Sus scrofa: one gene and its partners. The protein of the gene in region 6 purifies or fractionates together with the protein of the main gene of each other region. This does not show direct contact. Links are inferred from orthologs where the notes say so. Each region holds a gene or a part of one and is shown on either strand. Other genes may lie near its edges.

Evidence for each region.
Region 1: the proteins of HNRNPA1 (region 6) and HNRNPF purify together in Homo sapiens (affinity purification with mass spectrometry; 3 studies listed by BioGRID, with this or other methods). This does not show direct contact. The link is inferred for Sus scrofa from reciprocal best matches to the Homo sapiens genes HNRNPA1 and HNRNPF.
Region 2: the proteins of HNRNPA1 (region 6) and HNRNPC purify together in Homo sapiens (affinity purification with mass spectrometry; 8 studies listed by BioGRID and IntAct, with this or other methods). This does not show direct contact. The link is inferred for Sus scrofa from reciprocal best matches to the Homo sapiens genes HNRNPA1 and HNRNPC.
Region 3: the proteins of HNRNPA1 (region 6) and HNRNPR purify together in Homo sapiens (affinity purification with mass spectrometry; 7 studies listed by BioGRID and IntAct, counting the BioPlex papers as one, with this or other methods). This does not show direct contact. The link is inferred for Sus scrofa from reciprocal best matches to the Homo sapiens genes HNRNPA1 and HNRNPR.
Region 4: the proteins of HNRNPA1 (region 6) and FAM120A purify together in Homo sapiens (affinity purification with mass spectrometry; 4 studies listed by BioGRID and IntAct, counting the BioPlex papers as one, with this or other methods). This does not show direct contact. The link is inferred for Sus scrofa from reciprocal best matches to the Homo sapiens genes HNRNPA1 and FAM120A.
Region 5: the proteins of HNRNPA1 (region 6) and DHX36 purify together in Homo sapiens (affinity purification with mass spectrometry; 3 studies listed by BioGRID and IntAct, with this or other methods). This does not show direct contact. The link is inferred for Sus scrofa from reciprocal best matches to the Homo sapiens genes HNRNPA1 and DHX36.
Region 7: the proteins of HNRNPA1 (region 6) and ACTB fractionate together in Homo sapiens (co-fractionation; 3 studies listed by BioGRID and IntAct, with this or other methods). This does not show direct contact. The link is inferred for Sus scrofa from reciprocal best matches to the Homo sapiens genes HNRNPA1 and ACTB.

Annotation. Positions count from the first base shown.
Region 1 is NC_010456.5:61,665,146-61,669,163, forward strand, and holds the start of HNRNPF (heterogeneous nuclear ribonucleoprotein F), read right to left. Parts: upstream 2,801-4,018; 5' UTR 2,712-2,800; intron 2,384-2,711; exon of another isoform or gene 2,316-2,383; intron 1,758-2,315; exon of another isoform or gene 1,667-1,757; intron 1-1,666.
Region 2 is NC_010449.5:77,966,145-77,970,410, reverse strand, and holds the end of HNRNPC (heterogeneous nuclear ribonucleoproteins C1/C2), read right to left. Parts: intron 2,522-4,266; coding exon 2,361-2,521; intron 1,874-2,360; coding exon 1,760-1,873; intron 1,513-1,759; coding exon 1,352-1,512; intron 1,253-1,351; coding exon 1,169-1,252; coding exon of another isoform or gene 1,151-1,168; 3' UTR 501-1,150; downstream 1-500. UniProt on the Homo sapiens protein: Binds pre-mRNA and nucleates the assembly of 40S hnRNP particles. Interacts with poly-U tracts in the 3'-UTR or 5'-UTR of mRNA and modulates the stability and the level of translation of bound mRNA molecules. Single HNRNPC tetramers bind 230-240 nucleotides.
Region 3 is NC_010448.4:81,215,417-81,218,916, forward strand, and holds part of HNRNPR (heterogeneous nuclear ribonucleoprotein R), read right to left. Parts: intron 1,840-3,500; coding exon 1,704-1,839; intron 1-1,703. UniProt on the Homo sapiens protein: Component of ribonucleosomes, which are complexes of at least 20 other different heterogeneous nuclear ribonucleoproteins (hnRNP). hnRNP play an important role in processing of precursor mRNA in the nucleus.
Region 4 is NC_010445.4:42,860,150-42,864,393, reverse strand, and holds the start of FAM120A (constitutive coactivator of PPAR-gamma-like protein 1), read right to left. Parts: upstream 2,801-4,244; 5' UTR 2,737-2,800; coding exon 2,263-2,736; intron 1-2,262. UniProt on the Homo sapiens protein: Component of the oxidative stress-induced survival signaling. May regulate the activation of SRC family protein kinases. May act as a scaffolding protein enabling SRC family protein kinases to phosphorylate and activate PI3-kinase.
Region 5 is NC_010455.5:94,301,834-94,305,333, forward strand, and holds part of DHX36 (ATP-dependent RNA helicase DHX36), read right to left. Parts: intron 1,584-3,500; coding exon 1,463-1,583; intron 819-1,462; coding exon 666-818; intron 296-665; coding exon 110-295; 3' UTR 1-109.
Region 6 is NC_010447.5:19,483,736-19,487,976, reverse strand, and holds the start of HNRNPA1 (heterogeneous nuclear ribonucleoprotein A1), read right to left. Parts: upstream 2,801-4,241; coding exon 2,786-2,800; intron 2,241-2,785; coding exon 2,124-2,240; intron 1,831-2,123; coding exon 1,684-1,830; intron 1,554-1,683; coding exon 1,343-1,553; intron 1,252-1,342; coding exon 1,159-1,251; intron 1,074-1,158; coding exon 981-1,073; intron 872-980; coding exon 797-871; intron 523-796; coding exon of another isoform or gene 364-522; intron 1-363. UniProt on the Homo sapiens protein: Involved in the packaging of pre-mRNA into hnRNP particles, transport of poly(A) mRNA from the nucleus to the cytoplasm and modulation of splice site selection.
Region 7 is NC_010445.4:4,087,584-4,091,766, forward strand, and holds the start of ACTB (actin, cytoplasmic 1), read right to left. Parts: upstream 2,801-4,183; 5' UTR 2,676-2,800; intron 1,963-2,675; 5' UTR 1,957-1,962; coding exon 1,834-1,956; intron 1,702-1,833; coding exon 1,462-1,701; intron 1,015-1,461; coding exon 576-1,014; intron 478-575; coding exon 296-477; intron 166-295; coding exon 22-165; 3' UTR 15-21; exon of another isoform or gene 1-14. UniProt on the Homo sapiens protein: Actin is a highly conserved protein that polymerizes to produce filaments that form cross-linked networks in the cytoplasm of cells.

The DNA of each region.
Region 1 (4,018 bases), on a different chromosome or scaffold from region 6:
TCTCCCTCTGCCCAATCGTTTGTCTTCCACAAGAACCCTTGTTCAGAGCAACTAACTGGAGGCAGGGGTCCTGGCAGAGGGATGTCCCACGTCAGACAGACTTAAGAACAGTCCCAGATGTGTTCTAGGACACATCTGTATGATGGGGATAGCAGTAATATCTCCTTATGGACTGATCGCGGGCATGTGATTAGAAAAGTGTAAAACACCTAGCTCTGTGTCTGGACTACTGAGGGCCAATCAGTGTGATTCCACAAAGAGTCTGAGAGCCAAAACTCAGACTGGAGAGGGGAGGTTGATGGGAAAGTCACCTCTGTCGATGGGGGGCCCCCCTCCCACTTCTGTAGCCCCACCAGGCACTACTCCAAAGGGCACGCACCACGTGTGTCTCCACTCTTCCCCAGTTTTTTTTTTTTTTGTCTTTTTGTTTTTTGTCTTTTTGTCTTTTGTTGTCTTCCCCAGTTTTGACCTTATCAAAGGACTAACTCTCCTCCTGTTTAATCAATCCCTCCCCTTAAACCATTCTCATTTTTACTTGAGTTACTTTATAAGGGAGGTACGTTAACAATACTCAAGTGAAAATCAGTCGCTTAGCAGTTAAAAATTAAAAAGTAGACTATAACACGGAAAGAATAAATCTAATCAATTTACAGAAACGCATACTATTAAGAGGAGCTCCCCGAGGCAAAGGCCGAACTTGCTTAACTAGTAAATTTACTTATTTTAAAATGAAGGAGCTTATCTTCATTAGAACTGAAAACATCACTTTTCACTGATAGATCCTAATATTTTTGTCTGACCGGAGAACCCGAGGTTTGTTCATTCTTACTAGAAACGCACAAATAGTTAACTTTTAAAAACGTGACTTAAAAGTAATAGTAAGAATATCAAGACCGGTAGTTTCGCTGACGCATTCGTTTAAGGATTATTTGCAGCCTTCAACTAACTCTCCCGGCTCTACAAGGGTCCGATTACCGAGGCCCGCCCCTAACTTTGGGAGCCTGGGCCCCCCTCCCCCCACCGCCGCCAGCCGCGGCCGGTTCCGCGGAAGCCGCCGCGGCCACCCGGCCCCTCCCCCACCCCCACAGCAGCTCTCGGGCCCCGGTCCCGCTGAACAACCCGCCCGCCGAGGCAGGCAACTCCTTCCCCCCACGCCAGGTTCTCTGGCTCGAAAATAGCTGTGAAGCACGTTGGTTTGTCGTAGGGCCTCCAAGGGAAGGAAACTGCCGCGAAGGGCGTCTCGCGGGGCTCGCAGGTAGCCGGAGAAGGGAGGCAGGCTCTCCCGGGCCTGAGGTTCGTCCGGCGGGAACCTGTGGGGGTCCCCTGATAAGGAAAAGACTAACCGGGAGGAGCTTGAGGCCTCCTAACCGTAAAACACCGGGGCCCAGGGTCGGTCGGGCCCCGCGTCTCGCGCGGCGTCACCCAGACCGCTCGGCGCCACCTTACGTGGGCCACGCGGGGGCTGGGAGGCAGAGGGAGCCGCGCGAGCGCCGGCAGCGTCCAGCAGTTTCTGGGGCGCAGTCACGAATTAGCAAAAATACACTCAAAGATAAAAGGATAAGTGAAGAATAAAAAAACGGCCGACCAAGTTTCCCCAGCGGAAGTGTGGGCACCAGGCAAAGACAACAAGAACCGAACAGTTTCAACCAAAATATCCACATGCTACCTTTGAGAGCAGGAGACAAATGCAGACCGGCTCAGGGCACACACGCGGCGCGGAGAGGAAGAAAAGGCCGCAAAGACGGAAAGTGGAGGCTCTGCGAGCGGGAACGTGGGAGGGGGGAGGAGTCAGTTCCCAACCAGTCCCGTGCAACTCCCTGACGCGCGCAGCCACGTGAAAGTACTGCTTTCATTTTTAAATGAACCCCCTCTCACGGTCGCCCCATGTTTTCACCGTACCCCAGGCAGGGGCGCTCGGGCTCTGCCTCCCCACCCCAAGAGTCCGCACCAGGCTCTTCCTCCCTTCCGATCCTGCGTCCTCTGACACCAAACCTCAGCCCCGCGATCCAGTCCCCGAATGTAAACCAGTGGCCTCAGGCCCACCTCCCCGAAGTTCACATCTCAGTCCCGCAGGCCCCACCCTCAGTGGGCCAGGTCCTCGTTCAGGACCTAGTCGGTCCCTAGGTGTGTGGCTCCTGATCTCAGACCCCAAATTTCAGCCCCACGGTCTTCAACCTCCAGTAGGCCCAGGTGCAGGCCTTTACCACAGATCCCGCCTCCCCTGACCCCCAAATCTCAGCTCCTCGGTCCTCAATGCCAGGGGCCTCGGTTTCTGGTGTGTAGGCCTCGGACACGCCGCCCCTACCACCCCTCACCTTGGGCTCCGAGTCTCCACGCTCCCGCTCGTCTTCACATCCGGCACCTCGGTCGACCCTGTGAGCACCTAGAAGAGGGTGGAACGCGGGGGACTTGGCAGTTGTAGCAGAGGCAGTTGAGGCTTGTTTACCATCACTATGGAAACCTCTGGCAGCGCGCCCTGGGCGGGGCTTACGAGGGGCGGGGTCAGGCGCGCGGAAGGCCTGAGTCCACAACTCCCGCCCGTCGTGCGCACGCGGCGCTTCCGGAAGCCCTTATGCCTTGGTTTGCCTTGACCCTCCCCTCCTCAGACCTGCGCCCAAATACCCGGGAACAACAGCCCCAGGAGCCCCTGCCCCCGCCCCCGCCTCCGGCTGCCGGCGTGACCGCGGGCCGTTTTCTCTGCAGAACCCCACCTTTCGCTCCTGAAAGACGCGGCGCAACCCCACTTCCAAGACGGAGCCGGAAGGACGTAAAGACCGCGGCGGGGCGGAGTCTCCAAGGCGGGTTATGGGGGTGGGGCCACAAGGGCGCCGTTGTGACGCGCCCGGAGCGGAGTCGGGGATTGGTCGGCCAGGCGCAGGACCGGGCCGGGGCCTGCGGTGCGAGGGCGCTGCAAGTGGCAAGGTGGGTTACGTGGGCGAATCCTGCTCGAGGGAGGGGAGGGCAAGGCTTATGGGTTTTTCCGGCGTCTCTAAGGGTATCATCTGGGAGAGTTTCCCCAACAGTGAGCCCAAAGGATCCCTGGATTGAAGACCAGCGTGACAGAAGAAAATGAGAGTCATTTCCTGCCGAGGAGGAAGAAAGAGGGAACCAAATCCTGGAAACCGACAAAGGCTGTTCCGAGAGCAGGGTTTAGGGAGGGATTGGTAGGTTGAGGTTGCTCATGTGATTATCACTTGGGCTGAGAAGGCCTAAGGTTTCTGAAGGTGACCCTCAAGTCCCCAGGGAAAAGCAGACATTTCAGAGCACCTGAGCGACAGGGTGGATGGTAGCTGAAGTGGCTACTCTGCCTGAGGCAGTGGAGCAGATTATTTTTTTATGTGTTCTAGGATTATTAATTATTACCATTTTATTTTTGGAGACTCAATTCATGAAGAGGAAAATATAAAGAAACTCATCACTGATTAAGCAGGTTGCTTTTTAAATAAATTAAGGGAGTGCTTGGAATAGGGTCAGATTATGAATGGACAACCTATAGTGAAGGAAGGAGAACAGTTTGTCAAAAGAAGTTGATTTGGGAGGGATGGGAAAAGTAAAAGCAGGAGGTAAAAATGTATGAGAAGACTCAGGCGAAGCATAATTACGGAAAACAGGTCCTACAAAATTCAAATAGGTATTCTTAAGAAACCCAATGATCCCATGCTAGCTCATGGTATAGAAAAGTCTGTTTATGGAAAGAAAGTGCAAGTAGCTAATCTGAGGCAAATATTTAAATTACCACCCCACCCCCGACCCCACCCCTGCAAAAAAAAAGATGCTTCAGGGTTTAGGGACTGTGAAACCAGATTCATGCAATCCACTAAGAGGGCCTGCGAGGAGTTCCCGCCGTGGCGCAGTGGTTAACGAATCCGACTAGGAACCATGAGGTTGTGGGTTTGGTCCCTGCCCTTGCTCAGTGGGTTAACGATCCGGCATTGCCGTGAGCTGTGGTGTAGGTTGCAGAGGCGGCTCAGATCTGGCTACAGCTCCAATTCGACCCCTAGCCTGGGAACCTCCATAT
Region 2 (4,266 bases), on a different chromosome or scaffold from region 6:
TTTTCAGTAACACTGAGGCATAGACTCAGAATCCACATGGTAACTAGGGCTATAAATAGCAATCAAAAGAACTAAAATTGAAGAAAATACAGCTTTCATTCTCCAGTTGTTTCACCTTTTCCTAAAATCTTGACATGTTTGAGCCTCTTCTATTTAGAAATGGAACAATTTAGCACACAATAAAAAAATCTCAAAAAGGGTGCTAACTGGACCACAAAGCACCGACAAAAACAGCTTAATGTAGTTCCCAAACTTTATCATCAGTATTTAAAAGCCATATTTGCAAAACAATCTCCACTCCACAAGTCACTTGTCTCCTTAATTCAACTCCCACCCCAGCAAAACAATTTGAGTTGTGTATGTTGGTATGCAGAGTAGTTATGACTCAAAGAAAAACATTATCTAGTAGTACATTCTAGGGGTTTTGTGGAAGCTGCTGTGGAACAAAGAATTTGAAGTAAACAACTATAAAATACAAAAATAAAAAACCAGGGTGTTTATTTTTTCTCCAAATTCCTGGTTTAATAAGGACTTGTTTATTTTGAGAAAAAAGGTCCCAAACATCAGGCTGTTCACAAAAATAACCCACAGTATCAACTTTAGAAAACAAATCTTAAGACTATTACACTAATTATTTTTCTACAGGATGCATTTGACATGCCAACTCTCATTCACAAAAATACATTGTTACATTTGTGTTGAACAGCCCCACACAGCACTCTTATGTGGGGTATAACACACATACCTCTAACTCAAAGCTGCTCTCAGGTGCTACTCAACTAATGAGATTGCCTTTGCAGTTAGGGAAGCAACTACTAACTCATGTATGAATGTAAAGAACTGTACTCCCTGCATAACAACAGATTATTTTGGAGACAGTTAATAAAAACGATACATCCTTTTTATTGTTAAGTCATAAAGAGGTATCAAAATTAAAAGCAAAAATTACAGGGTAAGACTTAACATAACTACCAGGAGCGTCAAAGAAGTGAAAATGGGACTAGGCGCAGGGCAATATGAATTAATGAACATGGGAAGGACAAGGATGGGGAGAACAGTGAGCATGTGCTGAAGATACTAGGGGAGAGGATCTGGTGAAAATTTTGATCTTAGACAAGCGCCTAGGTAAAGAAATAATGGGACAAGATTTCTAAACCCCACTATGTGCTTAAGAGTCATCCTCGCCATTGGCGCTGTCTCTGTCATCCTCTCCTTCCTCAGCCTCTTTTTCATCATCCTTGATCAACTCCAGCTGTGAGAAACAGACACAAATAGGATGGAGTTAGAGGCACTCCATGTGTCCCTGATCCCCCCTCCACCACCTCTTTCTTTCCTTTCCCGTGGTTTTCACCTGGTCATCCCCCCGATCTTCATTATCATCATCATCCAGTAGGTCCCCCTCCTCAGCAGAGTCATCTGCACCCCCCTCAGACTCCATCTTCACATTAGTCTCATCTTTCTTCTGGGAGCTGCTGCTCTGCTCCTCTTCTGACTTATCATTCTTCATCTCTACTGGGGATGAGAAGGACAAGTCTGTCTAGGGGCAAGTAATGTCCACAGGATGTAGACAATCCCCACTAATGATCACAGAGATGCAGCACAAGTCTAAATCCTCCCACACAAATGCCCTTCCCAATTCAAACTCCACAAGTTTCAAATTCATCAACTGCTTTATATCCCACTACTCCAACATACACTTTCAACTATCTTAGGTAACTAACCCTACTTTACACCCAACAAGTGTAGGACCATTATTTACCTCCTTGTTTGCTCTGTTCCTTTTCGATTTTTTCCAGGCTTTCCAGTAGAGAATCCACTTTTTGTTTTATCTGGGTCAACTCCTTCTTAATGGCCTGAAGGTCATCTCCTTTTACTTTAATACAAATAAAATCTAGATTAGACTCAAACACACTCTTCACCTAGACTATACAACAGTAACCAACATGAGATCCCTGGAGGGAAATGGAGCCTGTACCAAATTGTCCTAGTAACAGGGACCTTTGATCTTTTAGGTGGAAGCTGAAAACTGAATCTAATGTGCCTATCCCTTAGCAGCAGCATTCTTAACATTAAGGCAAGCCAAAGACCTCAATTCTATTTTAAAGCATTTTCGGTTCTGTTTTACTAACACATTTCATACACTGAATAGGTATTTCAACTCTCTAAAATCTAATGACTTTTTTTCAAATTACCAAGGCGTTAGGTTGTTTAGAGTTGGCCCTTTAATCACTATTTGTCACCTTTTATAATTTTGACTATCCAAAGTCATTTGTACAAAACCTGATTATTAACTGCATTAATTTCCCTATTTCAACACACAAGAAATATAAGAATCATAAAGCTGCGATAATAATACATACACTTTCCAGACTTAGAAGATGATCCCCGCTGTCCACTCTTAGAATTGAAGCCACTTTTGCCCCTTCGTGAGGTGTTTCCTGATACACGCTGGCGTTTTGAGGGCACTACAGCCCGAGCAATAGGAGGAGGAGGAGGAACACGTGCTGGGTAACTGTACATCCTGTTAGAGAAAAAGAAAAAGAATTCCTTCACCACTAAAATTGAGTCAGGAAGATTCAAACAGTCTCCTTATTAAATAGTAAAATATTGTCCACCGCCTTACAATAATAATTTTTTGCTAATTTAATTCAAAAGGCCAGTAAAATTCTTTATTCTTTGATATTTAATACTGCAGCCACTTTCCTTCAAGAAAATACATATACACACACACACATCCAATAATATGGTTGGTTGCCTTAAGCATTGGACATAAAAGGTTCCTATGTACAATGGCAGTTTTAATAGAACATTACTTTTTTTCTTTAAAATATGGCCACACCCTCAGCATATGGAAGTTCCTGGACCAGGGATCAAATCCAAACTGCAGCTGCAACCTATGTCACAGCTGTAGCAATGCCAGATCTTTTAATCTCTCTGCACCAAGCCAGGGAGTTGAACCCGTGCCTCCACAGTGAACCAAGCCACTGAAGTTGAGTTCTTAACCCACTGTGCCACAGTGGGAACTCCAAAAGAACATTATTTTCAACCAAGCCTGCAAACAGCGCTCTTGTTACCTAAATCCTGCCTGATCTTTTTTTTTTTTTTTGTCTTTTTGCTATTTCTTTGGGCAGCTCCCACGGCATATGGAGATTCCCAGGCTAGGGGTCGAATCAGAGCTGTAGCTACTGGCCTACGCCAGAGCCACAGCAAAGCGGGATCCGAGCCGCGTCTGCAACCTACACCACAGCTCACGGCAACGCCGGATCGTTAACACACTGAGCAAGGGCAGGGACCGAACCCGCAACCTCATGGTTCTTAGTCGGATTCGTTAACCACTGCGCCATGACGGGAACTCCCCTGCCTGATCTTTTTAACCACAGAAACATACAAGTAACTACCATTAGTTAGTAACAGTACACTGAACCAATAAAATGGCCAATATTAACCATTTTTGGCCTACAGAAACAGGCATTTCATGTATTAGCTGGGCATAAATACCACTACCACTATCAATTCTAACATTCAGCATAAGCTCCACTCAAAGTTTCAACAGAGAATATTGTTTATCTTGTTCACTATTCACTAGTGTGTCCAGCACACATTTAGTTCTCAAAAATCACTGACTGCTCAACTGCTGCTTCCCCTGGACAAGTAATCCCAGTGACTGCTAAATATACACCCAAGTGTAGTTCCCACTGTGTTGCAGCAGGTTAAGGATCTGGCATTGTCTTTGAGACAGATCAGGTTTCATCCCCAGCCTGGGACAGAAGGTTAAGGATCCAGTGTTGCCGTAGCTGAGGCTTGGATTTGATCCCTGGCTCAGGAACATCCATATACCATGGTGCGGCCAAGAGGAAAAAAAAAGATACACCAAAGTGATGGCCTGGTATTGACTCTGAACATTTATAAAGAGAAAATCCAAAATACAACCAAAAACATGGAGAGCGGTTCTACAAAGTCTCTTCAATCTGTTATTTTACAAAAACCCATGACAGTATAAGTAAAACATTATCAGTAGGAAAAAAAACCTTACCTACCTTAATATAAAAATGTTTCCACCCTACTTTAACAAGATAATATTTTTAATATTTTCCTATAAGTGGCTATGCTAGGAACACTGCCAAAGAAGTGAGGGAATGACTTACTACTAATCTTCACTCAAACAGTTTTTAAGCATTGACCATCCAACACCATTCCTCTTGCAGCATAATAATGATTTACCATGTGCCAAAGAATCAATGACTGATAAAAATTATTAAAGCACTC
Region 3 (3,500 bases), on a different chromosome or scaffold from region 6:
CAGCTCACAGCAATGACAGATTTTTTTTTTTTTGTCTTTTTCTATGGCCGCACCCGCAGCATATGGAGATTCCCAGGCTAGGGGTCTGATCGGAGCTGTAGCTGCCAGTCTACACCAGAGCCACAGCAACATAGGATCTGAGCCGCGTCTGCGACCTACACCACAGCTCACAGCAACACTAGATCCTTAACCCACTGAGCAAGGCCAGAGCTCGAACCTGCAACCTCATGGTTCCTAGTCGGATTCGTTAACCACTGAGCCACAACAGGAACTCCAGTGCCAGATCCTTTAACCCACTAAGTGAGGCCAGGGATCGAACCAGCAAACTCATGGACACTATGTCAGGTTCCTTTTTTTTTGGTCTTTTTGCCTTTTCTAGGGCCGCTCCTGCGGCATATGGAGGTTCCCAGGCTAGAGGTCCAATCAGAGCTGTAGCCACCAGCCTACGCCAGAGCTACAGCAATGCGGGATCTGAACCGCGTCTGCAACCTACACCACAGTTCATGGCAATGCCGGATCCTTAACCCACTAAGTGAGGGCAGGGATAGAACCTGCAACCTCATGCAGGTGGATTCGTTAACCACTGCGCCACGACGGGAACGCTATGTCAGGTTCTTAACCCCCTAAGCCACAAGGGGAACTCCTAAAACATGTTTTTTAAATGAAGTTAGTGGAATTCCCATTGTGACTCAGAGGATTAAGGACCCAACACTGTCTCCATGCGGATGTGGGTTCAATCCCGGCCCTGGCTCACTGGGTTAAGGCTCCAGCGTTGCCACAAGCTGCAGCGTAGGTTGCAGAAGCAGCCTGGATCCAAGGTTGCTGTTGCTGTGGCATAAGCCTCAGCTGTGGCTCTGATGGACCACCCCTGGCCCAGAAACTTCCATATGCTGCAGGTGCAGCTATAAAAAGGAGATAAAAATGCAGCTAGCATTAGTGGATCTCCATCAGCATTTTAACAAAATGAAGTGGAACAGGAAATATCAAACTAAATCATATAAAGTGAAATACGATTTTGTCAAATTTTGTTGTACATACCTCTGCGATATAAAATATTCTTCTCAATCAACCCCATGAATTTAGAATTGGAAACTCAGAGAAATCTGATCTAGACAAGGTAAGAGGACGGATGAGGATAAGAACTCTCATCATCTTGGCCCTAAAGCACACTGAATGTCAGGGGGGAAAGCTGAAGGCTATGACAGAGGCCCTGGCAAAAGCCAAGATTCGGTTAAGGCAAAGGAGTGAAGGGGACACTCCAAGAAATTCAGAATATAAAGAAAGCTGCTTCACCCAAACCACTAAAAAGCACAAAGGAAGCAATTTAGACACTGAATAGATATGTGAATACTTAGCTTAAGATAACGTTTTTGGAGTTCCCGTCGTAGCACAGCAGAAATGGGTCCGACCATGAGGTTGCAGGTTTGATCCCTGGCCTCGCTCAGTGGGTTAAGGATCTGGCATTGCCGTGAGCTGTGGTATAGGTCACAGGCATGGCTTGGACCTGGCGTTGCTGTGGCTGTGGCCTAGGCCGGTGGCTAGAGCTCCAACTGGACCTCTAGCCTGGGAACCTCCATATGCCGCAAGTACGGCCCTAAAAAGACCAAAAGACAAAACAAACAAAAAGATACCCATTTTTTTCGCACTTATAAATAGTACCACAGATTTTCCAAAACTAATTTCTAAATACATTTTTGTTTTACCTGTGACTTTACTGAATTCTTCCAGAATGTTTTCTTTAGTCTTATTCTTCGGAATTGATCCAACAAAAAGCCTGTTGTTTGCCACAGAAATGCACACTCCAAGGTGTTTACCAGGGCGAATTTCATAGCTGTCACACTGAAAGGAAGAAAAGAACCAGACACCCCACAACCACCCCAAACTCAGAACAACTGATCTCAATCTAAAAAACTGAACAATTTAAGGTCAAACATGCCTTGTTTCATGAACTCACAGAGTTCCCTCACGTCTGCCGTAACATAAAATGTTTATTTTTAAACTTGTCGCAGCCTCTCATTTTAGTTTGGTTTTATTAACATTCACTCTTCCACTACAGAAAAATGACTCAAACTTACTTTATCTTAAAAAAAAAAAAAAAAAAATCTGACTTCATATTTCAGTATTATCTATCTGAAGATTTTTTTCCCAGAGGAAAAAAACACCTGAGACTGATCATTCAGGTTCCTTGGAGATGAAATCAGACATTGATAAGCCACAGGCAACATAACAATATATAAAGAGTAACCACTATGTTTAATCAATGCAAAAGAAATTTAGAATTTCACACTATACACTTAAAATAGAATTCTAAAATTTTCAAGTACGTATCAAACAAAATACTTCCAAAAAAAACCAGATGAAATGATAGGAATAAAAAATGTTTTATTTAAATGGCTATGGCGATGATTTCCTTGATATACTTTAGCTGCTTATATGCTTTAACATTACTTACCTACTTGTTTACTAAAATATATAATTTTAAAAAATCATCCATATGTTGCCAGATAAAAGGAAATAAAACTTTGAAAATTTCTCAGTATTAAATAAACAAACTGAAAGAAAAGGAAAACTGGAAGGAAACGTCCATAATAAAAACTGAAATCTGGAGTTCCTGTTGTGGCACAGAAGAAACAAATCCGACTAGGAACCATGAGGTTGCAGGTTCGATCCCTAAGCCTTGTTCAGTGGGTTAAGGACCTGGCATTGTGCCGTGAGCTGTAGTGTTAGGTAACAGGCTCAGATCCTGTGTTGCTGTGGCTGCGGTGTAGGCTGGCAGCTGCAGCTCCGATTGAACCCCTAGCCTGGGAATCTCCATATGCCTTGGGTATGGCCCTAAAAAGCAAAAACAAACAAAAATAAAAACCCAAAAAACTAAAATCTGGGTCAAGCTAGACGTAGAACTAATTTAGAGGCACTAATGAAACCAAAAGCCTTGGTGAAAGAGGTTACCATTCCAGAAGAACTAGACTAAGTAAGCCTTTAGCTCTCTGGCAAAAAAGTTTGCCAAAAAATGATGACTGCTATTTTGAGTTTCTGAGATGGTTGCATCTTAATACAGTGGAAGTGAAGATACAATTTGCGTAACTGTTAATACTACTACTCTCCACTGAATTAAGTACAAAGGGTAAAATAAAGGAAATTACCCAAAGATTAGTTATAAAACAGTATGAAAGATAAACAGAAAACTAGAGGGTCAGGGAACAAAAAGACAGAAAAGAACAATATACTTAGAAAACTGTACAATGATAAAATCAAAATGGATTTACAACCATTTCCTGAATTGTGTCCTGTGGCCCAGTTACATTCCCCAGAACACACCCCAGACTTCATCACACATAGGAAACTTCAGATACTATTCATTCCAATAAATAACTTCTTGGAATTACGGGAGACTTTCTCTAACACCTTATTTCTTGGGTATTTTCATTTCTTTTTTTACTTTTACTTTTATAATCAGAAAAAAGAGCAAAGGTCACATATCAACCCAGTCAATACAAAAA
Region 4 (4,244 bases), on a different chromosome or scaffold from region 6:
TGCCAGGTAAGTGTCCACCAGGGAATTGAGTCCTTGCTATATTAAAGTGTACAACTGTACTACATTGTAATTCTACATCAGAAGTTAAAAGCCTATCTGAAGCAAAATAATTGTAGACAAAATTACCTTGAATTCAGAAACCTAAGTGGAAGATCTGGTCAAAATTCTGAGCACTTAGTAGGTAAAAGTGAGCAGTGAGCAGAGGCACAAATATCAAGAAATTTTACAATCTAATTTTACAATGAAAAAAGAATTCAGGGAGTTCCCGTCGTGGCTCAGTGGTTGACAAATCCAACTAGGAACGATGAGGTTGCGGGTTTGATCCCTGGCATTGTTCAGTGGGTTGGGGATCCGGCGTTGCTGTGAGCTGTGGTGTAGGTTGCAGACGTGGCTTGGATCCCGCGTTGCTGTGGCTCTGGCATCGGCCGGCGGCTACAGCTCAGGTTAGATCCCTAGCCTGGGAACCTCCATATGCCGAGGGAGCAGCCCTAGGAAAGATTAAAAAAAAAAAAAAAAAAAAGAATTCAGCCATCCTTTCAACAGATACAGCGACCATGTATACACACTGAATCTAATCCTAAGTAATATTTCAGGTGTTCTTCTGAAAGCCACGTTACTAGACAGCTCGTAGTCTTTTCAATAGTAATTTCCATCTCTGGACAACTGTTAACCCTCTTAAGGTATCATCTGAAGGTGGACCACACCTGGGAATCAGTACTGTTTTACTTTCCAGGGAGCACAGGCTCCAGGGCAGAGCAGCGGCAGTCCCCGGCTCTCACCCGAACTTCCCCAGGGACGCAGGCTAGGTCTCTGCCACACTCACAGGCCAATCCACGCTCTCGCAGCAGCCTCAACCGGCAGACTTAGCAGCCCTGTCACCAATTGCAACAGGAGGCGGGTGGGACTTCCGCTATCACTTTAGGCTTAACCCCCACCATCTCAGCACAGGCAGAGCAGTCAGGAAGTTCGAATTTCACAAACTTTGGGATCAGGCACAGTTTCAAGCAGAAATAAAGGAAGGACAAACACATTGGAAGGCAGAGTGGCAGCAGTCAGAAAACCAAAACAGCCCCCCCCAAAATTTTTAAAAGAACCACTGTGGAAAAGGAAGCAATCGAAACTCAAGTCAAGGGTCATTGATTTGCATGTAATCTCTGCCATCACTGCTGGGTCCTGAAGCACTCCTTGGCCTGAGTTCAGGGAGGAGCCTTCTGCCAAATGGACAGCAGAGTGCTGGACAGTCGAAGCTCTGATTACCTGAGTGCACAGCCCAAAGTGGCAGACTCTTCACTGTGCAGAGAAATAAATCCTGGAAACTCTGATTCACATTCTCTTCGCCCTGACTTTTAAGCTACTCGTTTCACATCACATACACAGAACCAAAGACTTTTTCACGCAGACTCTCAGTACAGAACTAACAGAATTCCATGTCAAACTTTATGGCTCTTTGAAATCTAATGCACACAAAAACCAATTTCTCGAAAAACTACCATCTTACAGGGAACCTGGACCCAGGCCTGAGTTCTCAAGAAGAGACCAATTCCTCAGGCCTTGCCCAGGTCACTGCCCCCAGCTGAGCCGGAGTGACCGCAGTAGGCAGAACTTCAATCCACCCTCAATGGATGGAGACCCCTTCCTGTTGCCAGCCAGCCCACCTGCTCCCACAAAAAAACCTGTTGCTGTTCAAGTCTTGCGAAATTCGAAAACGAATGTCTCATGAAAGTTGACGTTAGGAGCTTTAAAGAGTGGAGGAATACGCGGGATCTCAGCAAGGGCGGCACTGTGCCCTCCGAGCTTGCAGCTACCGCCTGGGGCAACCCAGGCCCCCAGATCCCGGGCACTCGCAGCCGCCGGCCGGACTCCAGGCCGCGCGTCCATTTTGCAGCAGGTCCGTCAGACAGACCAGGAGGGGAGAGGAACCTGCGGTCCCCGGGGCCCAGACCCCCACCGGGGCCCCGGCCCCAGCCCGGCTCCAACTTCAGCTCCTGGCCCGCAGAGACCCCAGATCCCAACCCCGGCCCAAACGCAGATTCCAGACTCGGACTCGGCCCCGGGCTCCAGACTCAGACCCAGGCCCGGACCCCAGACCACCCGCCCACTCCAGACTCCAGTCCAACTCTGACCGCGGACTCCAGATCCCGGCCCACCCTGACCCTGAATTGAAGCGACCCCGGCCGGCCCGGGCTTCCAACCCTGCCCCTGGCCGGCCCGTCGGCCCCTACCGACCCCGGCCAGCCCGCCCGCCCTCTCAGCGGGCCGCACCTTGACGTGGAAGCGGATGAGCGCCAGGCGGATGCAGTGCGCCATGCAGACGGGTGGCAGGAACCAGACCTTGGGCGGCGGGGTGCCCTTGTTCTGGACATGGCTGACGATCTGCTGCGCCGTCTGGCGCTCGTTGCCCTGCCGCTTGACCCATTCGTGCAGCCGCGCCTTCTCGAGCGCGCCGTTGAAGAAGACGAAGAGCTCGATGTTGCCGCCGAAGCAGGCCTTGGCTAGCGCGGCCAGGTAGCCGAGCATGTGGTTCCACTGGCCGCCGCTCACCCAGTCGGTGTAGAAGCCGCCGTAGAGGCGGTGCAGGCAGTTGTCGGCGTCCACCAGCAGGCGCAGCGGCGTGTGCGGGGGCCGCTGCCGCCCGCCGCCCACCAGGCTGCCCCGGGCCAGCTTCTGCAGCTCCACCGGCACCACGGCGCTCGGGCAGTGCTTCTCGATGTAGTCCTGGAAGCCCTGCACGCCCATGGCGGCGGCGGCGGCGGGCGCGGGGCGGCGGGGCGGCGGGGCCGGGGGCGGCGGGGCCGTGGCGCGAGCCGGGGCCGGGGCCGGGGGCGGGCTCTAGGGGGGGCCGGGCCGGGCCGCGGGCGCGCTCATGGCCGCTGCGGCCGCCATGTGCTGCCGCCTCCCAGGGCCATGGCGGGGAGGGACCTGCGCCGTGCGCCGCTCCAGGCCCAGGCCAGGCGGAGGCGGCCTCGCGCGGGCGGCGGCGGCGGCAGCGGCGGGGCGGGGCGGGGCGGGGCGGCGACGGCTGACGTCCGCGGGCCGGCGGAAGAGGCGGTGCCGCGGGGCGGGGCGGGCAGCCGGAGCCTGAGACCCCTACCCACACGATCCCCGGCCCGCGGGAGGGGCGCCCGGCCCAGGCGGTGCGCGGGGTCTGCGCGAGCTTCCGGGAGGCCTCGGGGCGGCGGCCTCACCTCCTCCGCTTTATGACCCCTAGAGCTGTCACCGGGGAAGCCTCCTCGCATCCCTGGGGTACGGTCACCCCAGACGGTCTTGTCCGCGGAAGCCAGTCGGACAATCCCTTTCCCGGCCCCGCTGCGAACCGCTCACCCCGAGGAGGCCACGTTGTGTCCTCGGGATCCGATCACCCTGAAGAGTTCTCATCCTGAAAGCTGGTCGCCTCGAGGAGGAGGCCCGGCCCGTCGCCGATGGCCATAAGAAAGCCCCATTGTCATCCCCTGCGCCGGTCATTCCAAGGAGGCCCTCTCGCGCCCCCGTGGACTGGTCACCCAGAGAAGGCCCCTTCCCGTCTCCAGGAGTCAGTCACCTGAGGAATCCGCGTCCATCCCCAGGAGCTGGTCACCCCGAGGAGACCTCAGCCTGACCTTGGGGTATCATCCCCTCAAGGAAGCCACATCCAGTCCCTTGAGAGACGGTCACCAGAGGAGGTCTCATCCCTGGGGTGTGGCCACCCCAAGAGTCTCGTCCTGGTCCCAGGGGCAGTCACCCAAAGGTGGGACCGGTGCCCTGGCGGAGGTGGCTGCAGACTGAAGAGTAGGCAGGCAGTAGACGTCGGGGTGCATCTGGGAGGGAGGATGGTGAGCAGAAGCCATTTGTCCCAAATGGAGAAAGGAACTAGACTGTGTGCTGGGTGTAGTCACCAAGTTTTAGAAATGATCTCCTGCTCTCTCAGCTTTAATCGCATTGGTATCTTTAATTAACTTAGAAAATAACTCTCCAGACTTGCAGTTGTTCATAAGGAGTGGAGTCCTAATTCTGAGAAAGTTAGAAAGGTGGCAGATTGACCCCACGACTCGCTGGGATTACTGCTTTTCTGGGAGAAATAGGGCTGCGTTGTAAGCGGAGACCCTCACTGGAGCTCCCTTTTAGGGAGTAGATAGAGTTCCTTAACAGGTAGTTCTGACTCTGACCCCCTCAAAGTGGTTTCACTACCTGAGGCTCCCCTTTATCATTTTCCCACCAGTGACAGGTTTCATGGACCAGACCCTGAAATAGCAGACACTCTATAATGT
Region 5 (3,500 bases), on a different chromosome or scaffold from region 6:
CTTACACATGAAAAGTATTCATGTCCTAGGGTTTGGCATCAAGCCAAAAGTTAAACCATGATGGAAAATGGCTGTCAAATTGACTTTTCAGACCACCACAGAAAAGCTGTCAGCTATAATATCCATCCTGGAATCGTGACGGCAAATTCCTGGGAGTTGCTTTCTCCTGTGTTTTGATCAAGTCTATAATAGCTGAGAGTACTGCACAGTCTCTGGATTTAGTGTCCTTCCAGTCTACAGGATGGGGGCTTTCAATCTTCTCTTGCAGAAGGATATCTAGTTCCTTTCTTAATTCCTAAAGTTGGAAAAATTGCACATGTTCAATAAGGGAAGATATACTAGCAAACAATGTAATAAAAAGTGACTTTAGCAGGTTCAAGGAATTTCATAAGTAAGCTATTATACAAAAGACTGAAATATTTAGTTGGCAACTAACTAAAGTGTAATTATGAGTAGATGACTTGAGTAAAAAAATTCAAAATTCCATCATATTGAGCCACTGAAAATGGTTCGTAATTATTTCAAAAAACAATTAAAAAAACTATGAATCTATTTCTCAACACAACTGCTCTGCTGAAATAAAGCAAATGTTTAATGTAACTAGATCACAAGACCACATACTAACTTATATGCAGAATCAAAGACAATCATGTAAAGTCAGTCACCTTAACGAGATGGGCAATTCTTGCCGGAGACTGAAAGATAATCCATTCATCTACAGCAATAGTTTCCTGATCACTATCCTTCTGGATGGAAATATCACCTCCAAAAAACAAGAGACAGTATGGGGAAACTTCTGTGCAGTCATACAAGTATATCTATAATGAGAATCAAGGCAAATTAATACATTAAGGTGTCTGAAAGGATTACCACCACATTAACTCAGTAACATCACTAGTATCAATCTGTTAGTGCATTCCTTCTAAAACAGGTATTATCTTGTTAGCGTAATTACAAAGAGTAATATTGAAGAAATACTATTTTAAACAAGCCATTCTTCATCACTTCAGAGAACAAAGGAATTTTATATTTTGCTTCAATATAAAAAAAGCACTATTCTTTAAACAAAATATTTTGAGTGATAAAACACCAATGTAGCTGAAGTTTTCTATTTATCTATAAACAGACTCCCACTTAATATTCTGACCAATACATATAAGGTGTATTGACAGGCAAACAAAATTCTTTGTACAATGTAGATTTCTGTATATCAAAATATCAGTATTTCTTGAAAGCATGCTCTGAAAAAAAAGTAAACAAATCAAATAACCTTCCCAATTAAAATAAAAAGATCCATCATGGCAGACCTGCACATTGTAAGTACAAGTTATCTGCTTCAAGTTACGTCATGTCAGAAACAAAATTTTTTTAAGAGAACAGATTTTGTTTATAAATATAAAAACTATACAATTTAAAAAGTACAAGCCTGTTATTCAGAGCCTTATTTTATACATTCACTTACACTACTTGTTCTCATCTTCAGGTGATAGATAAGCCAGTTGTAGTGAAACTCTGTTTGCTCCACGTTAACAGATTTAGGATGAATAGCAACTAGTCCATCAGTTTTTGTGTAAACTTTCACCCTGTAAAAAAATTAAAGTGTAGTTTAAAAAAAAAAAAAAAAACTCTTGAGGATTCCAAAGCAATCCCAGAATCAAAACCAACTCCAAAAATGAGTTCATTTTATTTCTGCAATATAAACTTTCAAATTTATATTTGAGGAAAGAGAATTTTATTGTAATAAAATATGGAAAAATATCAGCTAAATGTGAATACTCTGGAAGTTTCCATTGTGGCACAGCAGAAATGAAACCGACTAGTACCCATGAGGATACAGGTTTGATCCCTGGCCTCGCTCAGTGCGTCAGGGATCTGGTGTTGCCATGAGATGTGGTGTAGATCCCGCAGACGCGGCTTGTATCCTGCGTTGCTTTGTCTGTGGCATAGTCCGACAGCTACAGATCTGATTTGACCCCTAGCCTGGAAACTTCCACATGCCTAAAAAGCCAAAAAAAAAAAAAAAAAAGGAATACTCTGAATCATACAAATCCTATTCTTTTTTTTGTTGTTGTTGTCTTTTGTCCTTTTAGGGCCGCAGCCATGGCATATGGAGGTTCCCAGGCTAGGGGTCCAATGGGAGCTGTAGCCACTGGCCTACGCCAGAGCCACAGCAAGCAACGCCAGATCCAAGCCTTGTCTGCGACCTACACCATAGCTCTCGGCAACTAGGGATCCTTAACCCACTGAGCAAGGCCGGGGATCAAATCTGCAACCTCATGGTTCCTAGTTGGATTCATTAACCACTGAGCCATGACGGGAACTCCCAAATCCTATTCTTAAATGTATAATTACTCAAAATATTAGAAAGGTGAAAGCATATTTCCTAATTATGTTAATACATATCCTATTCTACTGAAGGACAAAGAATGAAATAAATACCCGAGATAATTCTAAGTGACCAGACCAAGAGAAGTCTACACATTTTACTGTCAATCATGATGCTAATAGTCTTCAATTTACAGAATAACTGTGAAATGATCAATTACAAAATTTCATGTTATGTACCCAAATACAAAAAATGAATTCTGTTTAAAAAGAACTTTAGTTATAAATGATTTTTAAAAACTTATTCTAAAAAAATATGTTTTTAAATGGCCTCAAACCAAACCCCCAATTTGAAAACAGGAATACCTAGAATAAATGTACATAGCTCTAATTTTGTCTGTTCATTCCTATGGGCTTTCCTTTGATAGTCATAAAAATTTTACCTCGATTTGTAGGAGTTTTTAATTATTACTCAACAGGGAGATGTTTGATGGTTTATATAGTAGTAATCACTCCATAAAAATGATAATTCATTAATCCTTCCTATTTATTTTTAAGAGCATCTTTTTCATGGTCCTAGAATCCATAATACTTCTATTGGAATCACGAATGACAGTCATGAGTCATTACTCAGAACAAAATCAGCAATTATTTTTCCTCAGCATGCAATTTAACCAATTTCACCCCTATAACCCTGTATCACTAAAGCAGTAAGGTTTGGCAAATTTTTTCTATACAGTACCAGAGAGAAAATATTTTAGGCTCTGTGGATCCTATGATCTCTGTTACAACTACTCAACTCTGCTAGTGTAGCTGGAAAGCAGGCAGAGACAACAGGTTAACAAAGAAGCACGGCTGTGTTCCAACAAAAATTTACATAAATAAGCTTTTGGCCAGTATGTCAAAATGTGCTAACCTCTGGCTTAGACCAAAACAAAGCATCAATCCAAAGAAAACTACGTTTTTTTCATAAAGCCTTCCCATGATGGCAAAGGAATATAAATATTTGTATTTCAGGAGTTCCCATCATGGCTCAGCAGAAACGAATCTGACTAGCATCCATGAGAACCCAGCTTCCATCCCTGGCCTTGCTCAGTGGAAGGATCCGCATTGCCATGACTGTGGTGTAGGTCACAGACTCAGCTCGGATCTCGTGTTGCTGTGGCTGTGCAGGC
Region 6 (4,241 bases):
ATTCAGTTGAATAATCCAGTAGCTAGAAATTTACCCCTGACTCACCATGGTAGAGCAAGTAGTATAGTCTCTAGCCTCGAAGGCTGTTGTTACCCATCCAGGGGCACCGCAAACACATGCTGGATACATCAACTAAGTGCCTAAATAAAAGCTAACCTAATCCCGATTAACTGTAGGCACCACTATCCCCCTTAATCTATTTGGGAGTGAGGCGGCCCCAGCTTAAAGCTAGGAGGAGGTAGCATTGCAAGCCCATTAAAAGAAAGTACCATGCAGTAAAACACATTATGCCTAGAGAGCATCAAGTTCCCATATGGCTAAGCTAGCTATTTGCACCAAGTACTTGGATCACTGGATACCTACCACTACCACCGCCAAAGCCGCCTCCGCCTCCTCCGTTGTTATAGCTGTCATAGCTGCCACTCCCGCCATAGCCACTGCCCTGGTTTCCATAACCCTGTCCACCACTTCCATAGCCTCTGCTTCCTCCAGAGTAACCAGGGCCGCCTCCTCCATAACCACCTACAAGAATACAATTCTTCTCAATAAGACACAAGTATTCAACATTCAAATTCTGTGCAAGCATGATGGCTAAAGGCCGGCTCACAACATGCTGTAAGAGTCAAACTTGAACTTATCATGCACTAAAGTTTTAGTATCTACTAGCCTATTCTAAAAGTAGTCAAACTTTTTACCTGTAGTTTCTTAAAAAACAAAAAAATCCAACAACAAAACGAACTAAAAAAACCCACACACGCACACACAAAATTTTAACAGTAAAAACAAAAAAACTTACCGTCATTACCAAATCCATTATAGCCATCCCCACTGCCACCATATCCACCACCACCACGACTGCCACCAAAGCCACCTGGAACAGAATTTAAAAGCCAGGTTTGAAGTATGTGGATCGCATACAAATCACACCCTTCTAAGCCTAAATTCTAAGAAGCGTTAAAATAATAAAAAACCATACATACCTCGACCACTAAAGTTTCCCCCACGACCAAAGTTGTCATTTCCACCAAAACCACCTCCACGACCACCACCAAAGTTTCCAGAACCACTTCGACCTGAAGAAAAAAATGTTAACGTTAAATTGTACCGGTTAAAATCATTCAAAATGATGCTTAAGGTTTAATTAAGCAACAAACTCACCTCTTTGGCTGGATGAAGCACTAGCCATCTCTTGCTTGGATAGGGCTTTCCTCACTTCACAGTTGTGGCCATTCACAGTGTGGTATTTCTGAACTGAAAAATTTGAAAGTAAGACACCATCTCAGAGTTTAGGACACAAATGGATTTCAGAACTCTTAGCGAATGCCAACCACCTGCTACTTACTGACAATCTTGTCTACGGAGTCATGGTCATCAAAAGTTACAAAAGCAAAACCTCTCTTTTTGCCACTGCCCCTGTCCGTCATGATTTCAATCACTTCGATTTTCCCATACTGTTCAAAATAATCTCTTAGGTGATGTTCTTCAGTGTCTTCTTTAATGCCACCAACAAAAATCTTTTTCACAGTTAAGTGGGCACCAGGTCTTTGAGAATCCTAAAGGGGGAGAAAATAGTAACAATCCTAAGACCATGTTAATACTAAGTCTGTTACATCCCCTTAATGTGAGTGAATCCTGCTAATCGAACATTTCCAGTCGATGAAACACAAGAAAAACATCACTTACTTCTCTTGAGACGGCCCTCTTTGGTTCCACAACTCTTCCATCCACCTTGTGCGGCCTTGCATTCATGGCTGCATCCACCTCCTCCACAGTGGCATACGTGACAAACCCGAAACCTCTGGAGCGCTTGGTGTTTGGGTCCCTCATTACCTTTAATGTTTATTTAGCACATGGTAAGACACCAGAAGTTACAGCCTTTTCTACCTTGACTAAGGCAATGGAAAACTTTCTACCAACCCTCTAAACGAAGCTCTTCAATGACCACCGCCCCCACCCCTTAAACCTAACAATTGGGAGCTTTTCAGCTATGAAGCCACACCTTCCTTTGTCAAGTAAGCTATAAAGTCAATAGGAATCTTCATAAGCATTCAAACAGCAACGACAGCGAGATAAGCCAAGAAAAACAACTAGCTCTAAGGCCTTTTGTCTCTTCCAAGTCTTACCACACAGTCTGTGAGCGTTCCCCATTGCTCAAAATGGCTCCTCAGACTCTCATCGGTTGTTTCAAAGCTCAAACCTCCGATGAAGAGCTTCCGCAGCTGTTCGGGCTCTTTGGGAGACTAGAAGTAGGGGCAAAAAAAGCGTTAAATAGGGCTATAACGCAAACAAGCTCCCCGCTACAAGAAGCAACACCAGGTAGCAACGTACGAAGCTTTTATTGTTCCCTCGGGTCGCTGTAAGCCACGTGCTTCTCCCCATCTGGGGAGGCGGTATGTTGGGGGCTGGGAAGCGGCGAGCGCATGCGCCCCTTACTCTCCCTACGACGCACGCGCAACAAAAGGACTGGGAGGGCGTGCATCGCCAAAATTGGACTACAGCTACTCTTTAAGAAAGTCGTCCACTAGGACAAGGATGAAAAACAGACCGAATGTGTCCACGAGCATTGCAAAAAAGAACGAGAGCAGCGTGATAACCAAGGATTGCACGACGACAGCCTCATGGCGACGAGGACAAAATGGCGACCTGAACTCAGGGAGGGGTAGGCCCCGGCAGCGACCGAAGAACTGCCGAAAAGGCTGGTGCAAGCAGCCAAACCAGACTGCACCCTACCAAACTCAGCAAGCGGCGAAGAAGAAAACGCAGATGAAAAAAGAGTCTCACTCACCTCTGACTTAGACATGACGGTAGTGGGGAGGAGGTTACAACGATGCTTACTCGGCGGCGTCCGGGGGCAGAAAGGAGTAATCTAACGAACGAGTCTGCCAGCCTACCTTCGGCCTCGCTTTTTTATCCCGCCTCCTCGCGTTCGGCATTGGTAGACTCCGCCCCTGAGTAGCTCTGATTGGATATTTGACATAGCTTTCCCCCACTATTGGTCTCTCGTATGCGTTGCTGTGTAACGTCATCCGTTTGGGCGTTCTACGCAGTCTCAACCCCTCCCGGTCCATTGGTTCCTAAGTAATATTATTCTTAACTAGACTGATTGGCTGGTCAACCAATGATTCATATTTGAATTATTTCGGGTATTGAGATAACTTTTTAATTAGCTATGTCCGGAATATTCAACGCCTGTGTCAAAGCATTTTTAATACTATGTATCAAAAAAGTAGCTAGCATGTGACAATTTGGCGGAACGGGGGCGGGGGCAAGATCGCCTGCTGAGCGCATGTGTAGTAAAATGGCGAGTTTACGCAGGCGCGCTAAGAAGTTCCGCCCGGAGCTTGCAACACGTGAAATGGCGGGCAGGAGACAGCGGCGAACCTAAGGCGCCTGCGTAGTGGCGGGAGTTGTGCCCCCTTTTGCGCAGGCGTAATGGGCGGGGAAAGGGTCGGGTCCCAGGATTGGTCGCGCAGGCGCAGGGAAGGATCCGTTTTGGCGGGCGGTTGGCGTTGCGCAGAAGGCGGCGGCGGCGGTGGCTTGTGGTCCGGCCGCACCACAGAGGAACAGGCGAGGCGTTAGCGTGAGTGATCGGTCTCGACCCCCGGTAAGTGGCGGACCATCTTGCCTACCCATACGAGGTCTTGAACTGACTCCAACTGGGCCCGTTATTGTGTGAAATGAATGGACCTCGGGGTGGGGGCTCGTGAAGGGGGAGCGGTGAGATCGGCCAACCAATGGAAGAACGGGGGCGGGATGTTTTATCCCCGTAGGTTCTGTGGAGCTTTGCAGCGGAAGAGTTTGACTGGCGAGTGTATAGGCCAATTGGGGCTGTCCTTAGCTGCCGACTCATCGGTCCTTGGGCCATCGGTATGTGGGAGGCGGGCTTTCTCCTCCTGAGCAGCATCTCACTGAGCCAATGAGCACGAAGCGCGCGGTAGGTTGGGCTCCTCCAAGAGGCCACGATTTGACTCCAATGGGGGATGCGGGAGTTGGGCGGTTAGGTGGATGGACCAAATCGGGAGCCAGTAGGCGAGCAGCCTCTGGAAAGCGCTCAGGCTGTTCGTCCAATCAGCGCTCCAAAAGAGGGAGGTCTTAGATTTGGGGATGCGAGGAAGGGGATTCAATGCCTGTGATGGCGCGTAGGGGCTATTTTATTCACAATGACTTTAACAAAACCTGTGGGCCTCCGTGCCACACTTCTCTGGTAGGAAAGCTGTTAAGTTTGGTCCTGTATTCCTCGG
Region 7 (4,183 bases), on a different chromosome or scaffold from region 6:
GGAATGCAACTAACAGTCCGCCTAGAAGCATTTGCGGTGGACGATGGAGGGGCCGGACTCGTCGTACTCCTGCTTGCTGATCCACATCTGCTGGAAGGTGGACAGCGAGGCCAGGATGGAGCCGCCGATCCACACGGAGTACTTGCGCTCTGGAGGCGCGATGATCTGGAAGGAGAAGGGGACAGTGAGGCGGGTGGCGGTCAGAGCCCTGGTCCCCAGAGCACCCGCTCCGCGGCGGCTGCCGTGGCACCCACGCCGCCCGGCCGCACCCGGCCAGCTCAGGCTGGGCACTCACCTTGATCTTCATCGTGCTGGGCGCCAGGGCCGTGATCTCCTTCTGCATCCTGTCGGCGATGCCTGGGTACATGGTGGTGCCACCCGACAGCACCGTGTTGGCGTAGAGGTCCTTGCGGATGTCGACGTCGCACTTCATGATGGAGTTGAAGGTAGTTTCGTGGATGCCGCAGGATTCCATGCCTGAGGGGGGAGAGAAGCCCGACTGAGCTTCCGCTGTGGCCACCACCGGGTGAGCCAGGGGGGGCGGGGGGAAGGCAGGGCCAGGGCTGCGTCCTCACCCAGGAAGGAGGGCTGGAAGAGCGCCTCGGGGCAGCGGAAGCGCTCGTTGCCGATGGTGATGACCTGGCCGTCGGGCAGCTCGTAGCTCTTCTCCAGGGAGGAGGAGGACGCGGCAGTGGCCATCTCCTGCTCGAAGTCCAGGGCGACGTAGCACAGCTTCTCCTTGATGTCCCGCACGATCTCCCGCTCGGCCGTGGTGGTGAAGCTGTAGCCCCGCTCCGTCAGGATCTTCATGAGGTAGTCGGTCAGGTCCCGGCCAGCCAGGTCCAGACGCAGGATGGCGTGGGGCAGGGCGTACCCCTCGTAGATGGGCACCGTGTGGGTGACCCCGTCTCCGGAGTCCATCACGATGCCAGTGGTGCGGCCAGAGGCGTACAGGGACAGCACGGCCTGGATGGCCACGTACATGGCTGGGGTGTTGAAGGTCTCGAACATGATCTGGAGGGAGGGAGGGACGCTGTCACCCTCGGGAAGCCGCCGGGGGCAGTCAGGCCGGACTGGGGACATGCAGAGAGTGCAAGGAACACGGCTAAGTGTGCTGGGGACCCCAGGTCGGGGAGTCACGTCAGACCTACTGTGCACCTACGGGATACACACTCCGAGGCCCCTTTACGGCAGCCTCGTCGGCTTTGTCACACGAGCCAGTGTTAGTACCTATACACCCACAGCACCTTATGCTTTTAACACCTAGTCAGAAAGGCAAACACGAGAAAGACTCCAGCTGGGGAAAAGCAAATAGAACCTGCAGAGTTCCAAAGGAGACTCAGGTCAGAGAAGAAAAGTCCTAGGAAAATGGCAGAAGAAAGAACAAGTGAGAAAGGGCGTGGCAAAGAGGGGCAAGAGAGGAGGGGGCGGCCGCCCGAGAGAGCCCAGTGGGCCACTGACCTGGGTCATCTTCTCACGGTTGGCTTTGGGGTTCAGGGGGGCCTCGGTCAGCAGCACGGGGTGCTCCTCGGGGGCCACACGCAGCTCGTTGTAGAAGGTGTGGTGCCAGATCTTCTCCATGTCGTCCCAGTTGGTGACGATGCCGTGCTCGATGGGGTACTTGAGGGTCAGGATGCCTCTCTTGCTCTGGGCCTCGTCCCCCACGTAGGAGTCCTTCTGGCCCATGCCCACCATCACGCCCTGCGGAAGGAGGGGCGAGGCGCCTTCAGCCCGGGCCCGGCCCCACCGGCCCCCACGCAGAAAGCCTCCCCCTTCCCTCCACCTGCTACCAAGACCCCACCCACCAAGTCAGACCCGAGGGCGGCGCCCTACCTGGTGTCGGGGGCGCCCCACGATGGAGGGGAAGACGGCCCGGGGAGCATCGTCGCCCGCAAAGCCGGCCTTGCACATGCCGGAGCCGTTGTCGACCACGAGCGCAGCAATATCGTCATCCATGGCGAACTGCAGGGGCAGCAGGACCGTGAGCCGGAGGCCGGGTGCGGCCGCCTCCGCCCTACTCACTTCCGGCGCGACGCGCGTTCGAGCCGCCAGGGGGCGCCGGCACGCGCCCAGATTGGGGACAAAGGAAGCCGGCCGGCCGCGTTATTACCATAAAAGGCAAACGCTGGTCGGAGGCGGCCCCGAGGCGCGCGGCAGGAAGCCAGGCCTCCGCCCCCTCCCCACTGGGCGCCAGCCCCGCCCCGCCCAAAAAGCGCCACTCGGCGGGCGCGCGGCGACCACACCCGGGGCGGCCCGTGGCTCCGCGAGGAAGTGCGCGCAGGCGCTCTCGCGCCGCGGCGACCCCACCCCTTCCGGCCGCCCGCCCCGCCCTCGCCTCCTGGGCCTACGGCGCACACGCACGCGCACTGGCGTCCCAGCCCCCACCCGGCTCGGCCACCGCGCCGCGCCCACCCACCCGCCCCGCCGCCCGGCTGCACTGCTCTCCCGCCGGCGGAGCGATCGGCCCGCTCGGACAAAGAATCGCCGCCGCTAGGGCTCCCAAAGAAACACTCTGGGAGCGCTCCCCGAGCGCAGCCCGGGCCCCGAACGAGGAGCGCATGAGTCCATTCCCGGCACCCGGCCGGCTGTCCACGGGGCCGGGGCGGAGGGGGCCACCTGCCCACAAGAGGCACGGGCCCAGCGCATCAGCGGCCCGGCCGGTGCGGGGACCCTACCTGGTAGCGGTGTAGACCGGCGGCGAAGGCGGAGCGGCAAGGGCGAGGGGCCTGTGCTGGCGGAGTGGACGCGGTCTCGGCTGTGGCTGTGCGTCGCGCCGCCGGGTTTTATGGGGCGCAGTCGCGGCGGCTCGAGCCATAAAAGGCAACTTTCGAAACGGCGAGCGCTGATTGGCCCCGCGCCGCTCACTCACCGGCCTCGCCGCACAGTGCAGCATTTTTTTACCCCCTCTCCCCTCCTTTTGCAAAAAAAAAAAAAAAGAAAAAAAAAAAAAAAGAAAGAGGGAGGGAGATGGACTGGCTAGGAGAGAGCGAGAGCGAGATTGAGGAAGAGGAGGGAGAGAGTTTTGGCGTCGGCCGCCCTTGGGTGCTGGGCCCCAACAGTGGGCCGCCGCCCGCCTGAGCAGTGTCGGGTCCGGCCCCGCTTGGCCAGGCCTGCACCCGGCCTGCTGGTCTCCGGGTCTCCCCACCCCGGCACCCTCCGAATGTGGATGCCCCAAAGCAGTGAGCGCCCCTGTGGGCAAGGGTCAGCACGGATGCGAGAGTCCCTGGTTGCTGTGGGTGCATGCTTAAGGAGCAGGTGGGGGAAAGGAGTGATGAGAGAGTCACCCTCCCCTTGGCGACATTAGCTCTGCTGCCCAGAAAGCCTGGGTAAGGGGGGGCCCCGACTGGGGGTGCTGAGCTTGCTAAGTGGGGGTGCTGAGCTTGCTAAGGGGGCACATTACTTAGAGACCGTGGGCTTGAGGGCTATGGTGGGGCATGCTTGAGTCAGGGGACTTGGAGACACGTAGCAGGGGCTTCAGGACTGCAGTCTCTAGGGACAGGACAGGCCCCAGGGGCTGGGGGCTGGAAGTTCCCCGTGAAGAGGGCTCCAGGCCTCCCTTGCTGCAGGCCCAGGAGAGGTGGGCTCCGTAGAGCAGAGAAGCTGTTCCCATGGAGCTGGGCTGCGGCTGAGGCTGCCTGGTCACACCCAGCCAAGGCCAAGCCTGGGCCATTAGCTGGCGACCCAGGCAGCTGCCAAGCACTGCTGGCTGCAGGCAGGCAGGGCCACTGAGCACAGCTCTGGGACCCACCATCCATCGTCTGTCTGTCACGTGCAGCCACAGCTGAACTGCCCTCCTAGACCATCTGGAGGCCACCAAGGACTGGGGAAGGACATTCAATGTGCCAGAGAGGAGTTAGGGGGAGGGGGGTGGGGCAGCAGGGACCAGCTGGGGCCCACTCCTGCCCTGGTCTCTCCACCAAACACGGGGTCAGACCTGGGTGCCCCCGGGTGTTCCCAGTGGTTCCCTGCTCTGGGAACTGCCTGTCCAGCAGGGAGAGCCTGCACCCAGGCGGGGGCCACCAGTGGGCAGTGAGTGGCCGAAGGAAGCCCAGCGGGGCAGCGTGGAGGTGCACCTTCTCCGAGGCCGTGACAAGCTGAATTTTCCCACAAAGGAAACAGGGCAGAGGGGTCCAGGTGGGGGCCCTGGCCTGCCCTCGGGCGTCTGTCTCCAGGTCTGCCTAGG